3 linked regions of the Caenorhabditis elegans genome follow. The protein of the gene in region 3 interacts with the protein of the main gene of each other region in a pairwise test. Each region holds a gene or a part of one and is shown on either strand. Other genes may lie near its edges. The genes, in order: skp-1, memi-3 and atz-1.

Region 1 (3,757 bases), on a different chromosome or scaffold from region 3:
ATCTTTTTTTAAATTTTAATATCACGTAATATCGTCAATTGAGGTACTTTTTAAGCAAACATAGGTAATCAATTTCGGTAACCTTTCGATTTTAAATGTACCTTAGAATAGCATAAGATAAACTGCCAAAATAAGATTTCAGCTAAAATAATGTTTTTTTTTGAAATTTTAAAACGCCATAAAACTTTTTTTTTGAAAAACTTCTGGAACGTTTCATTATGAAATTCGTTCATTTTAGAGCATTGTGGGTATATATATATATATACATTCAAAATACCTAGACCCGTTACTAATTTTAATTTATATTTGAAAATAAGCAAGAAAAACTAACTCGGTCGATAAACGTGCTGTTGAACACTGTCACCGCCACGCCACGCAGCATCATAAGGATTGTAAGTATCATCGTCCATTGCTCCACTGTCGAGTCCCTGAAAAATAAATATATTAGTTAAATTTTATCGAAGAAGGAACTGAAACCTGGGTTTTATCAAACAATCTTTGATCGAACTGTGGTTCGCCAGTTCGTTTCTGATTCGTGTCCGGCAAACCAAGCACAATTTTCTCCGAAATATCTCTTTCACGCTCTTTGCGAAGCTTGTCAGCTTTATCTGGTCGTGAACGAGCAATATTTCTTTCTTTCCTGATATCGTCGAGACGATCACGTCGAATTTCTTCGCGAACTTTGACTTGTTCATCATCTTCATCGTCCTTTCTCCGCATCGCTGATCTTTCCTGGCGGGCTTTTGCTGCGGCTTCTGCCATTTTAGCCTCTTGCTCAGACTTCTTATTTTGAGCAACGCGTCTTTCAAGCTGAGCACGTGTCTCAACCTCTTCACGAGCTTTTCTATCAGCAATGTACAAAGCATCAGCAAGCTTCGCAAAGTTTTCATTAATATGAGTCTGTTGGAGACCACGTCCATCAGCAGCCAATCGTTTGTCCAACCCAACTGTGAATCCTTTTGGATTTTTCCAATTTGAAATACATGGTGGAATCTTCCAATCGTTTTGATCTTTAGCTGTCATTTTTCTTGGAGGAGAATGCATGACTGGTGCCGGTGGAGATGGTGGTGCTCTAGGAATCTTCTGATTGATTTTGAACTTTGGTGGTTCCATCGGATCTTTTTGTTCTTCAACCATTCTGATGATGCGCTGTTGTGATCCAGCAGCTCCATTCTGCTGACTTGGAGTGTATCTGATATATTGAGCAGGTGCTAACTTGTCGGCATGACGAACAGGAAGTGCTGAGGCTACTTTTGAATTTACGATTTTTTCCAAAGCCATTCTTGTCTTCTCCGTAGCATCGATAACAGCGTCATCGTCTGGTTTCTGAATATCATCATCATCCTCGTTCCACGTCTTGGCTTTCATATCATTAAGCTTGGAGTAGACAACTTTATCCTTAACATGTCCGATACGAGCAATAGCATCGTGTTGTAACTTTCCATCAGTTCCATATTGCAAGGCGAGCGTATTTTCTGGCTTTCCTCTCATATCTCCAAGACCTAATCCGAGAGGAAACTGAGCAACGTGAATTTCAGGGAACGCTCCGCCATCGCCAAAATCCTGGAAAAGAAAAATTAAGAAGAATATTAATATTTTCAATCTCACTTCAGGCCCTCTTGGTCGAAAACTGGTCCGTTTTCCGTACGGCGGTGGTTCCTTCGATACGAGTGCGGCGGATGGTTCGTTATCGCGCCCACCAAACCAAGGATCTCGTCGAATCTGTGAAGCTGCTTCGTCTGCCGCCACAGGAGCAGGAAGGATACTAAAAAACATTGGTTTTACATGATAATCAGTGAAATACACTCACTCTCGTAGTTTCATCGACATCCTGATGAAATACTGTCCTGAAATTGTTTTTTTAGACAAAAAAAGAATCAAATACAAAACTGGAAGATATTGTAGTGCCGATGAAACACAAGTTATAATTTCAAAACAAAAACATTGAATGAATAATAAAATAATGAATTAAGTGTTTATTGAACAGTGATTAAATCGAGTATATGAGATCAAATCAATAATTGGATAAGTTGCAGTAAGTGATGTAGAAAAATTATTTGCCGCGGCGGCTGTTAGATTTTGTTGTCGATGCTGTGTTCGGTACTTTTTTCAGCTGATCGAAGAGAGCATCAGAAGAAGAATGATTAGACAAATTATTTATCATCATCTCATGCTCAAAGAGTTTAGTCATAATCATGGCGGTTTGTGAGAGACGAACGGTATCGTTAATAGTTAATTCCGAGTCATCGAGCTTTCCAATCCGTACAAACTCGCACGGTTCATCACGTTTCGTGTGCTCGTACCACGGATCGTCTTCTGGGTCAAAATCAAGTTCCTTGTTGCAAAATGCACATTTGCCAGACTGAGGACCGGTGCAGTAAAATCCGGCTTGAGCAACCTAAAACAAGAATAATTTTATTTAAAACACGAAAATGGACAAACCGCTTGAGACGTGCATTTTGCATCCGGGTCTCTATCATATTCGAAATTTTTGAATGTCATCAAGCGATCTTTGTAGAATGTGAATTTTGCCATATCCGACTTTTTTTTGGTCCCGGGTGCCATTTTCTGAAATCAATGAAAAACAACTAGGTATCTTAATCTTGAGGAATCTATTTCGAACAGGTAGAGATTAAAAATTCGAAATACAGTTAAGAAGATTTGAACTAAAAACCACAATTCCAAAAAAATAAGTTGAAAGCGTTGAAATCGATTGATAAAAGGAAAAGATAAAACGAGACTTACATTGAAAATAATAAAACTTCGTGGCGTATTTTAATAGATTTCGAAAATGAAGTTTAATTTCATGAAATTCGCGCATCCACGCCACGTGGTTTTATTTTTTCAGTGTGTATTTAAATATAAATGAAAAACAAATCTCAGAAAACATTTATCGAATAAAATGTTGAAAAATCAATAAATGTAGCTCGCGTCGCACTGACGAATTTCGCGCTGAAATATACAGCCACCAAGAAAGCTAGGCCACGGCCATTGGTCAGTAGAGCGCACGTGCGCGCGTACCAAAACCTCCAAGAAGACAGGAAACTCAATGAGTTTGTTGAAAACTAAACAAATTAACAATAACTTTGATTCAATGGAAAAAGATTCTATTAACTTTTTAACCGGACGGTGTCGATCGAGCCTGCGGCTCAACCTCTCTCAACTGGCTAAAACTGAAATTTACCGTATTTCCTCTATTAAATAGTTAGGCACCTCTATTAGTTTTGCACCTCCATTAGTTTTGCATCTAAAATCACTAATCGAAAATTAGTTTTGCACGCTCTATTAGTTTTGCACCTCTAATAGTTTTGCACCCCTCCATTTGTTCCCTATTTTTAGGAATTTAAAATTTGCATTATAAAATCGTTCTAAAAATTAGGAAAACTCTTACAGACTTGGTATAACAAGTCAAAATTGGCAAAATATGAGTACAATTCGGACAATTTTTGCGTATCAGTCGTAAAATTCGTCCATTTTGGTTCATAAGTTGTTATTGAAATTGATGATATTATGTCATAACTTAATGGAAAACATGAGAAAAAACCTGTTCGAAAATTAGTTTAGCACCTTCTATTAGTTTTGCATCAAATTAGGTGTCCGAAAATTAGTTTTGCATGCCTTACTAATAGAGGAAATACGGTAAATAATATTATTTATGATTACTAATTAATGAGTAATCTCAAAAATAATCGAAAATCAATTTTTAACTTGAACAGTTTAGATTCTTCTACAGATTTACACTTGATTATTTTTGAAT
Region 2 (3,605 bases), 970 kb from region 3:
GCCGGAGTGACCATCGCCCAAGGAGGAGTTCTTCCAAACATCCAAGCCGTTCTTCTCCCAAAGAAGACTGGAGGAGATAAGGAGTAAGAACTTTCTTCTTTAAACAAACCCACCGAACCCAACGGCCCTCTTTAGGGCCACAAATATAAAAAATCCTAAAGATATTTCATATTACATTTATTTTGAATAATATGTTTGCTTGAATTCAATCAGTATTACTGTCAATAAGTTTTCACATGTTTTCGAGCCAAGATATCGGTCAGGAAACGACATTTAGAAATTGCAGAATTATGATCACTATGTAATGTGGCCAATTGCCTATCAAGCCTCAAGTATCGAAAAGTTGCATGTCGCAAGCTGGAATTGCCAGCGTTTTCAGAAATTTGCGTTCATTAATTCTAATTTCGAATTCATCTTTTTAGGCTGGAGGCATCTTCCATATCGTAAATCATTGTACCCGGCTGTATAAAAATTTTGATATCTGAAACCAGAAAATTATCAGCTTATCAGAAGAATTTAATTTGAAAAATTTTTCAGAGTCATGTTAAAAAGATTTTTTAAATCAACCAGTTCATGATTTGGTAAAGTTAATTCAAGCAATATACATGTTGAACATAAACAAAATATTCGAGGGTCATGGTGAGTTGGAGGAATGGAAAATAAAATAGGGGAAAGTTAGTTGATATATTTAACAGGAACCACTTAGTTATTCAGATAGATATATACAAAAACTTATGCACATTATAACTAATTATTGGACAAATGAATTCACTCTTCATCCAGTTCGAATGTTTCGAGGAACGAGATTAGGTCGTCGACAAGCACCATTCCATTTCTCAACGAGACCATATCGTTTTCGACCTCGAATTCATGAAATTCGACTGGCTCTTCGACAATCTGCACTCGTCGGTTCATGCACTTCACCGTTTGCTCCAATTCGATGTACTGAAAACGTTATAAATTGGAAACCGATAAATTATTGCTATTCAACTCACTCTATATCTCCGGAAAGGATCCCTGGCGCTCGAGTTGTTATTGTACACGATCCTCGTTTCCACGTGGCGCTTTCCTCGAATCGAACACGTGATTGATGCAGTCGAGGCCATCAGTCGGCCTTGTGAATCGAGTCCTGGCTCGAGATTTCCGTATTCCCGGCAGTTTGTTGTTCGCAGGCGACGAGTGGTAGTCTGAAATATGAAAAGTTATCGGTGTGAAATAGAAAACTATTTTACGTACACTCTTGCTCTGTGATCGGATCAATGTTGCCACCACAAAGCTGTCTGTCATCTGGAAGCCTTCGATTTCCATCTCCAGTTTTTCGAGAATTGCAAACAATTGCTGGAACGGCATTGCAGTCTTTGCCTGGATCGCAAATCGAACCACATTTTGACCCGTCTCTTTCGGCTCGGCCAGGAGGGAAGTCTGAAATAAAAAAATTTTTTTGGGAAAAATATACTCAAGAAACTAACTAGAATCAGACTGGAGATATCTTCGGCCGAAAGCATGCGGCACTGAGCGGCGAAATAGTGTGGTCGCTGGTTCGGATGAAGGAGCACGTGCTCGACAAGCGCTTTCTCCGATTCTCTGGTCGTGTTGAACCATCTTTGCGAGAAGAAGTCGTAGCGCTTGAGACGGAGATTTTCAATCGGCATTGTTTGAATGTCTCTTAGCACTTTGACAGCTTCATCGCGGATGATTGCCTTGCTCGGCTTCTTGTCGACGAGCTTTGGAGTTTCATCGATACGATGCAGGGAACGGTAGTTCTTATCCTCGACGAGCTCCACGTCTTCTCCATGCCCTTCGATAATTGCATCATGATTGATGTTGGGTTGTGGTGGGAGGGCTGAGCAACCGGCTCGAGCGGTTTCCAATTGATATTCATCGGTGTAGTTGGCCACGTATTTGGTCGCCGTCAATTCGCGAAGAACGGTACGGGACGGAGCTGACATTCTAAAAAACGTTGGTTTGAAAAATTAATGGAAAAATAAGAATTCGAAGCAAAAATTAAAGATAAAACTTTAAAAAAAACAATGTACTCAAGTGATTAACAGATTAATAATGCTTCACCGATAAAACAATATTTATGAAATTTCATTACGGCTCTCTGAACATCAGCAAAGTAGAAGAATGTTCACAATCAAAAATTTTCGTTGGGCCTAAAATAACACAATTGTTGCGCTGACTTTTCGCGGGGGAGATCGAATAGGTCAAATAGGCGATGCATTCATAAAAAGTACAATACTTATTGAAAAATAATTTTGGATTTGTTTTCTTTTTTTTTTGTTGAAAAATTAACGCGATTGAAAGTTTTTAATCATTAAATCAAGATTTAAATATCATGATATATCAGAAAACAACAAAAATCAGTTTTAGAATTTTTTTGAGCCTACCGTACTCTTTAAAGGCGCATGGCGATTTTCAGATGGGTCTCACTACGACATGCGTGAAATTTGAATGTTGATTCAAAAACTGTTCGTTTTTTTTCTTTTTTTAGAACCAAAGCTTAACAAACGCTTTTTCTCATGTTTTAAACGCGTTTTGCTCGTTTCTTCGCACAAATAAATTATTTCAGAAGGTTTTGCAATGGGGGTCATCATCCCCGCTGTACTTCTCGCTATGGCGACTGTGATCGCTTGGCTTCTCTACAAACATTTGAGAATGCGTCAAGTTTTGAAGGTCAGATTGCAAAATGCATTCAAAGATAACTCAAATAAATTTCCAGCACCTCAATCAGCCACGATCATATCCAATCGTTGGTCACGGACTCATCACCAAGCCCGATCCAGAGGGATTCATGAACCAAGTGATTGGAATGGGATATTTGTATCCAGATCCACGGATGTGTCTTCTCTGGATTGGCCCATTTCCATGTCTGATGCTCTACTCTGCCGATCTTGTTGAACCAATTTTCTCATCGACGAAACATCTGAACAAAGGGTTCGCATACGTTTTGCTCGAGCCATGGCTTGGAATCAGTATTTTGACGAGCCAAAAGGAACAATGGCGTCCAAAACGAAAACTATTGACACCAACATTCCATTATGATATTCTCAAGGATTTTTTGCCGATTTTTAACGAGCAATCAAAGATTTTGGTTCAGAAATTGTGTTGCCTCGGAGCAGAGTAAGAATTTTAATTGATAACTCGTTCAAATGTTTCTTTTCAGTGAAGAAGTTGATGTTCTCTCCGTTATAACCCTTTGCACTCTTGACATCATTTGCGAAACCTCTATGGGGAAAGCTATTGGTGCTCAACTCGCGGAGGTTGGGTAAACAACTCGAATCTCAAAATTTCTAAATACTTTTTCAGAATAACGAGTATGTATGGGCGGTGCACACAATCAATAAACTGATTTCAAAAAGAACAAATAATCCGTTGATGTGGAATTCATTTATTTATAATTTGTACGGTAGTTTTATCATTAATAAGGTGAATTAATTTGTAATTTTCAGAACAGAGGACGGACGGACTCATGAAAAATGTCTTCGTATTCTCCATGATTTCACAAAGAAAGTGATTGTCGAGAGAAAGGAAGCTCTACAGGAGAATGATTATAAGATGGAAGGTCGTCTCGCATTTTTGGATCTTCTTCTCGAAATGGTGAA
Region 3 (3,757 bases):
AGAAGATTCTCTACATTCGTCCGATGGCTGTTCAATATACGCCACGTCACAAGATGCGCAGCAAGAAGAGTGGTTGGAAGATGGAGGCTCGTAAGAATATTGTCAAGGATCAGATTCGAATGGAACGGAATATGGAGAAACATGCGGTGGAGAAGGAAGTTTTTGAAGCACCGGAAGTGGATGACGAGGCTCCGAAAAAGAAACACATTCTGGATCGTCTCAAATAGAAGGATAATCAATTTTATTTTTTGTTGTTGTTGATTTTGCGTTATTTTCGTTTTGTTTTTACTGAATTTTTGAAATTATTTCTTTAAAAGATTTGACATTTGGAAATTTATGAAACGAAGGAAAAAACAAACAGTAAAATAAAAAAGTAGAAACTAGTATGTATTTTATTCGTAATCTTCCTCTTCTCCCTCCTCATCATACTCTTCCTCATCCTCAAAGTCTTCTTCAACCTCGTAGTTCTCCTCCTCTTCATAATCTTCTTCCCCTTCCTCTTCTTTCATAAGATCGTCATTCTTCTTCTGAAGATCCGCAATGATCTTCTTCTGGGCTTCCAACTGCCCCGTCGTCTCGATCATCATCGCCTGGATCTTCAACGTGAGCGCCTCTTCGAATCGATGCTTGTCCTCCAGCTCTTCAAGCCGTTTCATATAGACTTCAGTGAGCTTGTTCGCATCGTCGACCTGTTTCGTGAGGCTCTCGATGGCCATCGTCTTTTTCTTGGATTCTCTAGCAGCACTGTCCAATGCATTAATCGTCAATCTCAAAACACCCTCTGGTGGAATACCAGTTTTCGCTGCTGGCATCAAATTTTTGATTCTGAAAAGTGTTACTTTTTGCATTTGTGCTTGTTATTATGGGGACGCAAAAAATGGTTTTTTGAAATCATCAAGGCACAAGCGCGCTCCAATGATGGGTCTCATTAGGTATTGGCAGGAAACTCGTAAATTCAAACGTTTTTGTTGTTATTATCGATTTTAATGTCGAAATGGTCTTTAAAGATGCATTTGAATAAGGGTTTCTCGTGTATTTTACATGATTTGTTTCGACATAGAAATAGTGGAAAAACTCTTGAAAAAATTTGAATTTCTGATTTTGCCTTCGCCAATACCTAACGAGACCCAACTTTAGAGGCGTTGCGTTTTAACTTGGGTAGGCTCCGAAACTCACCGTTTTTCATTCTCAGGATCTGTGCTCTCACCAAGGTTAGCCACAAGTAATTCGATTCTCAAGAATGTCTGATATGACCTGAAAAAATAATTCGATAAATTTTAGGAACTCAAATTCTTAAAAACTCACTCATCAATTTTCGCATCCCTTTTCTGCTGTGCTTCCCTCAAAAGTTTCTCCAATCGACCAATTTCCTCATTTGCTACTTGTTTTCCTTCTTTCGTCTCCTTTTCAAGATCCGAAATTCTTTCCGTGGCAACTCTCAATTTCTCACTCAAACATTCCACATATTCGACATTCGAATCAGTCTTCTTCGCATCGAAAAGCTCTTTTCGTTGCTCCAAAAACTTTTCAGTGAGCACTTTGAATTGCAAGTTCTTCGCGGCAAGCTCGGTTTGCACATTGCGGAGTTCGATCGAAGCCATTATTTGAATATTACAGACAGAAAAAGGGTGACAACCAGTCGATAGGGACCTGTGCGAGTGAAATGAGACAAGAAGAGGAGCACTGCTAATAGATGGTATCTACCGTAGCAGTTGACCTTTCCAAGAGGTAGACACGTCATCATTGTCTGACATACTATGTTTGCTCTCTCTCTCTCTCTCTATATGGTCTCGAAGGGAAGGAGATTAGGTCATAGGAGACGTTTATTGGAATGAAACACTTCATTAAAAAGGGTAATTAGTGAACTAGATGAGCTAAATGCATATTCAAATTTGTAAAAGGCCACCTAAAATGTTATGCATTGTCAAGAGAAATGGCAGTACTACCTAAACTGTGGCTGTGAAAATTATCTGGATTAATTTTTTGAAACCTAAAGAACGGTCATTGATAGTCAGAACTTTAGTTAATATATTTTTCTTGCATTTTTACATTTTTTGGGTAAAAAAAGGTGTCATGTTCAAAGTTTCCATTAGTTTTCAATATCTGAAGCTCTTTTTACCAAACGTTGAATCAAAAATAGGTGACAGACATTATTCCAATTTCAATTACCAACTTGTATTCTAGGCATTTTCTTTCTGCTACAAACTTTCTGCAACACTTTTTTTTGTGAATATTAACCAAAAAGTTGGCATGACAGACGCCGAATTAAATAGTTGATTGGTCAGATAACTGTATCTTTTTTCTCATGTTATCAGTGAAGCAAGAATCAAAAACTTTCAATAAACCGAAAATAGTTCATTCGAAAAAAAAATTATCTAGAAATTTCAGTTAAGTTTTTGGTAAAAAATTCAAAAATTCAACAAAATTGAACGGTATACGACGAAGGTTTCAAGCACACGAACATTGTTGAGTTGTCAAATGGATAAGTGTATGCACCTGGACATGCATTCTTGAACATCTTCGTTGTAGAGCTCATTGTGCATTTATCTGGAGAATCATACTCCCCACGGCAGCATTCCTTATCAGTTCCATATCCAAGACATCCAGATTTACACCCAACAGTGTAACCTGAACTACTCTTCACTGCAAGTTCTGTAGGGCATGCAGCATTTACATCAGAGATGCATCCACCGGCTCTTTGACATCCCAACCCATCAATTAACATTGGGAGATTGTAACCATCGATTAGATTAACTGCATAAAAGTCTCTTCCAGCCCAAGATTTCAAATTGAATTCTGCGACAGATGCGGGTGGAGTTCCTGTCCTTCCATTGCATTGTTCTGCGTTCTGGAAAAAGTGTAAAACTCTCAAACCTTTTTCATTTTTTTTCAAGACTTCGGGTATTCCCAATTTCGGATGTTTTGAAACTTATTCAGTATATGCGTGTGAATTCTGCGAAACGTTTGAAACTTCCTGTCAACATTTACTGTTGAGAAGCTTGCCCAAAGTTTGGCAGAAAGTAGCAAAAATTTGGCAAAAAGATTATATAGTTTCGACGACCGTAAAACGTGCCCAGAGTTTGACAGAAAAAAGACCAAAAATTTGCCCGAAAATGAAAATGTATTTTGGTAATAGATTTTGGAATATTCATCAAAAAAAAAATGATGTACGTCCTTGACAATTCACGACTTTCAGATATTCTAGAACATCTAAAGTACTTTTTCGTATTTCCCTTTTACACAATTTTTTGGCTGAACTTAAAAAATTGTTCAAAATGTTTTGATCAAATATCCCCAAGTGTTTATTTGTTTCAAAACTTCCATAGAAACTTATACTTTCAAAATGATACACTGTTAAAGTATAGATCTATAGACTTCAAAAAAGTTACATTCAAACTACGGAAAACTCACCAAACAAGTTCCAGTCTCACAATTGAAATCTCCATCACATCCAGTCCGTGCCCAAATCTTTCCATTTCTCCAATCATCATCCACATTTAAATACTTTGCCGCCCACGCATCTATTATTATAGACTACGATTGTCCGGCTGTTCACAGTGAGGAGCAGAGATATAAGTAGAATCCAGATGGAAATCATCTGAAATTTTAAATAATTGCTGATCGATTATGTTTATAAAAATTGTTTGCAAAAATATTCGTAAAAGACTACTGTAGTCAACTTCCCGTAATGTAAAGTGTCTTCCTTACATACTTTCCTTTCCGATAACAAAAGTTTGTCCAATTTTGAACCAACTGT

The links.
Region 1: the proteins of atz-1 (region 3) and skp-1 interact in a two-hybrid assay, tested with the Caenorhabditis elegans proteins (2 studies listed by BioGRID).
Region 2: the proteins of atz-1 (region 3) and memi-3 interact in a two-hybrid assay, tested with the Caenorhabditis elegans proteins (2 studies listed by BioGRID).

What each region holds. Positions count from the first base shown.
Region 1 is NC_003283.11:11,643,571-11,647,327, reverse strand, and holds the start of skp-1 (mammalian SKIP (Ski interacting protein) homolog), read right to left. Parts: upstream 1,848-3,757; 5' UTR 1,831-1,847; coding exon 1,811-1,830; intron 1,766-1,810; coding exon 1,609-1,765; intron 1,564-1,608; coding exon 478-1,563; intron 429-477; coding exon 332-428; intron 1-331. Other genes in the region: Chromosomal passenger complex protein bir-1, read right to left, coding at 2,054-2,398, 2,443-2,565.
Region 2 is NC_003282.8:11,401,389-11,404,993, forward strand, and holds memi-3 (MEiosis-to-MItosis transition associated), read right to left. Parts: upstream 1,951-3,605; 5' UTR 1,950-1,950; coding exon 1,470-1,949; intron 1,423-1,469; coding exon 1,237-1,422; intron 1,188-1,236; coding exon 996-1,187; intron 946-995; coding exon 769-945; 3' UTR 557-768; downstream 1-556. Other genes in the region: his-65 (Histone H2A), read left to right, coding at 1-87; cyp-31A2 (CYtochrome P450 family), read left to right, coding at 2,584-2,676, 2,723-3,123, 3,167-3,263, 3,310-3,404, 3,453-3,605.
Region 3 is NC_003282.8:12,374,453-12,378,209, forward strand, and holds atz-1 (Protein atz-1), read right to left. Parts: upstream 1,670-3,757; 5' UTR 1,602-1,669; coding exon 1,306-1,601; intron 1,255-1,305; coding exon 1,177-1,254; intron 826-1,176; coding exon 393-825; 3' UTR 229-392; downstream 1-228. Other genes in the region: wdr-46 (WD repeat-containing protein 46), read left to right, coding at 1-227. UniProt on the Caenorhabditis elegans protein: Plays a role in meiosis, germline development and oocyte morphogenesis. May play a role in DNA replication.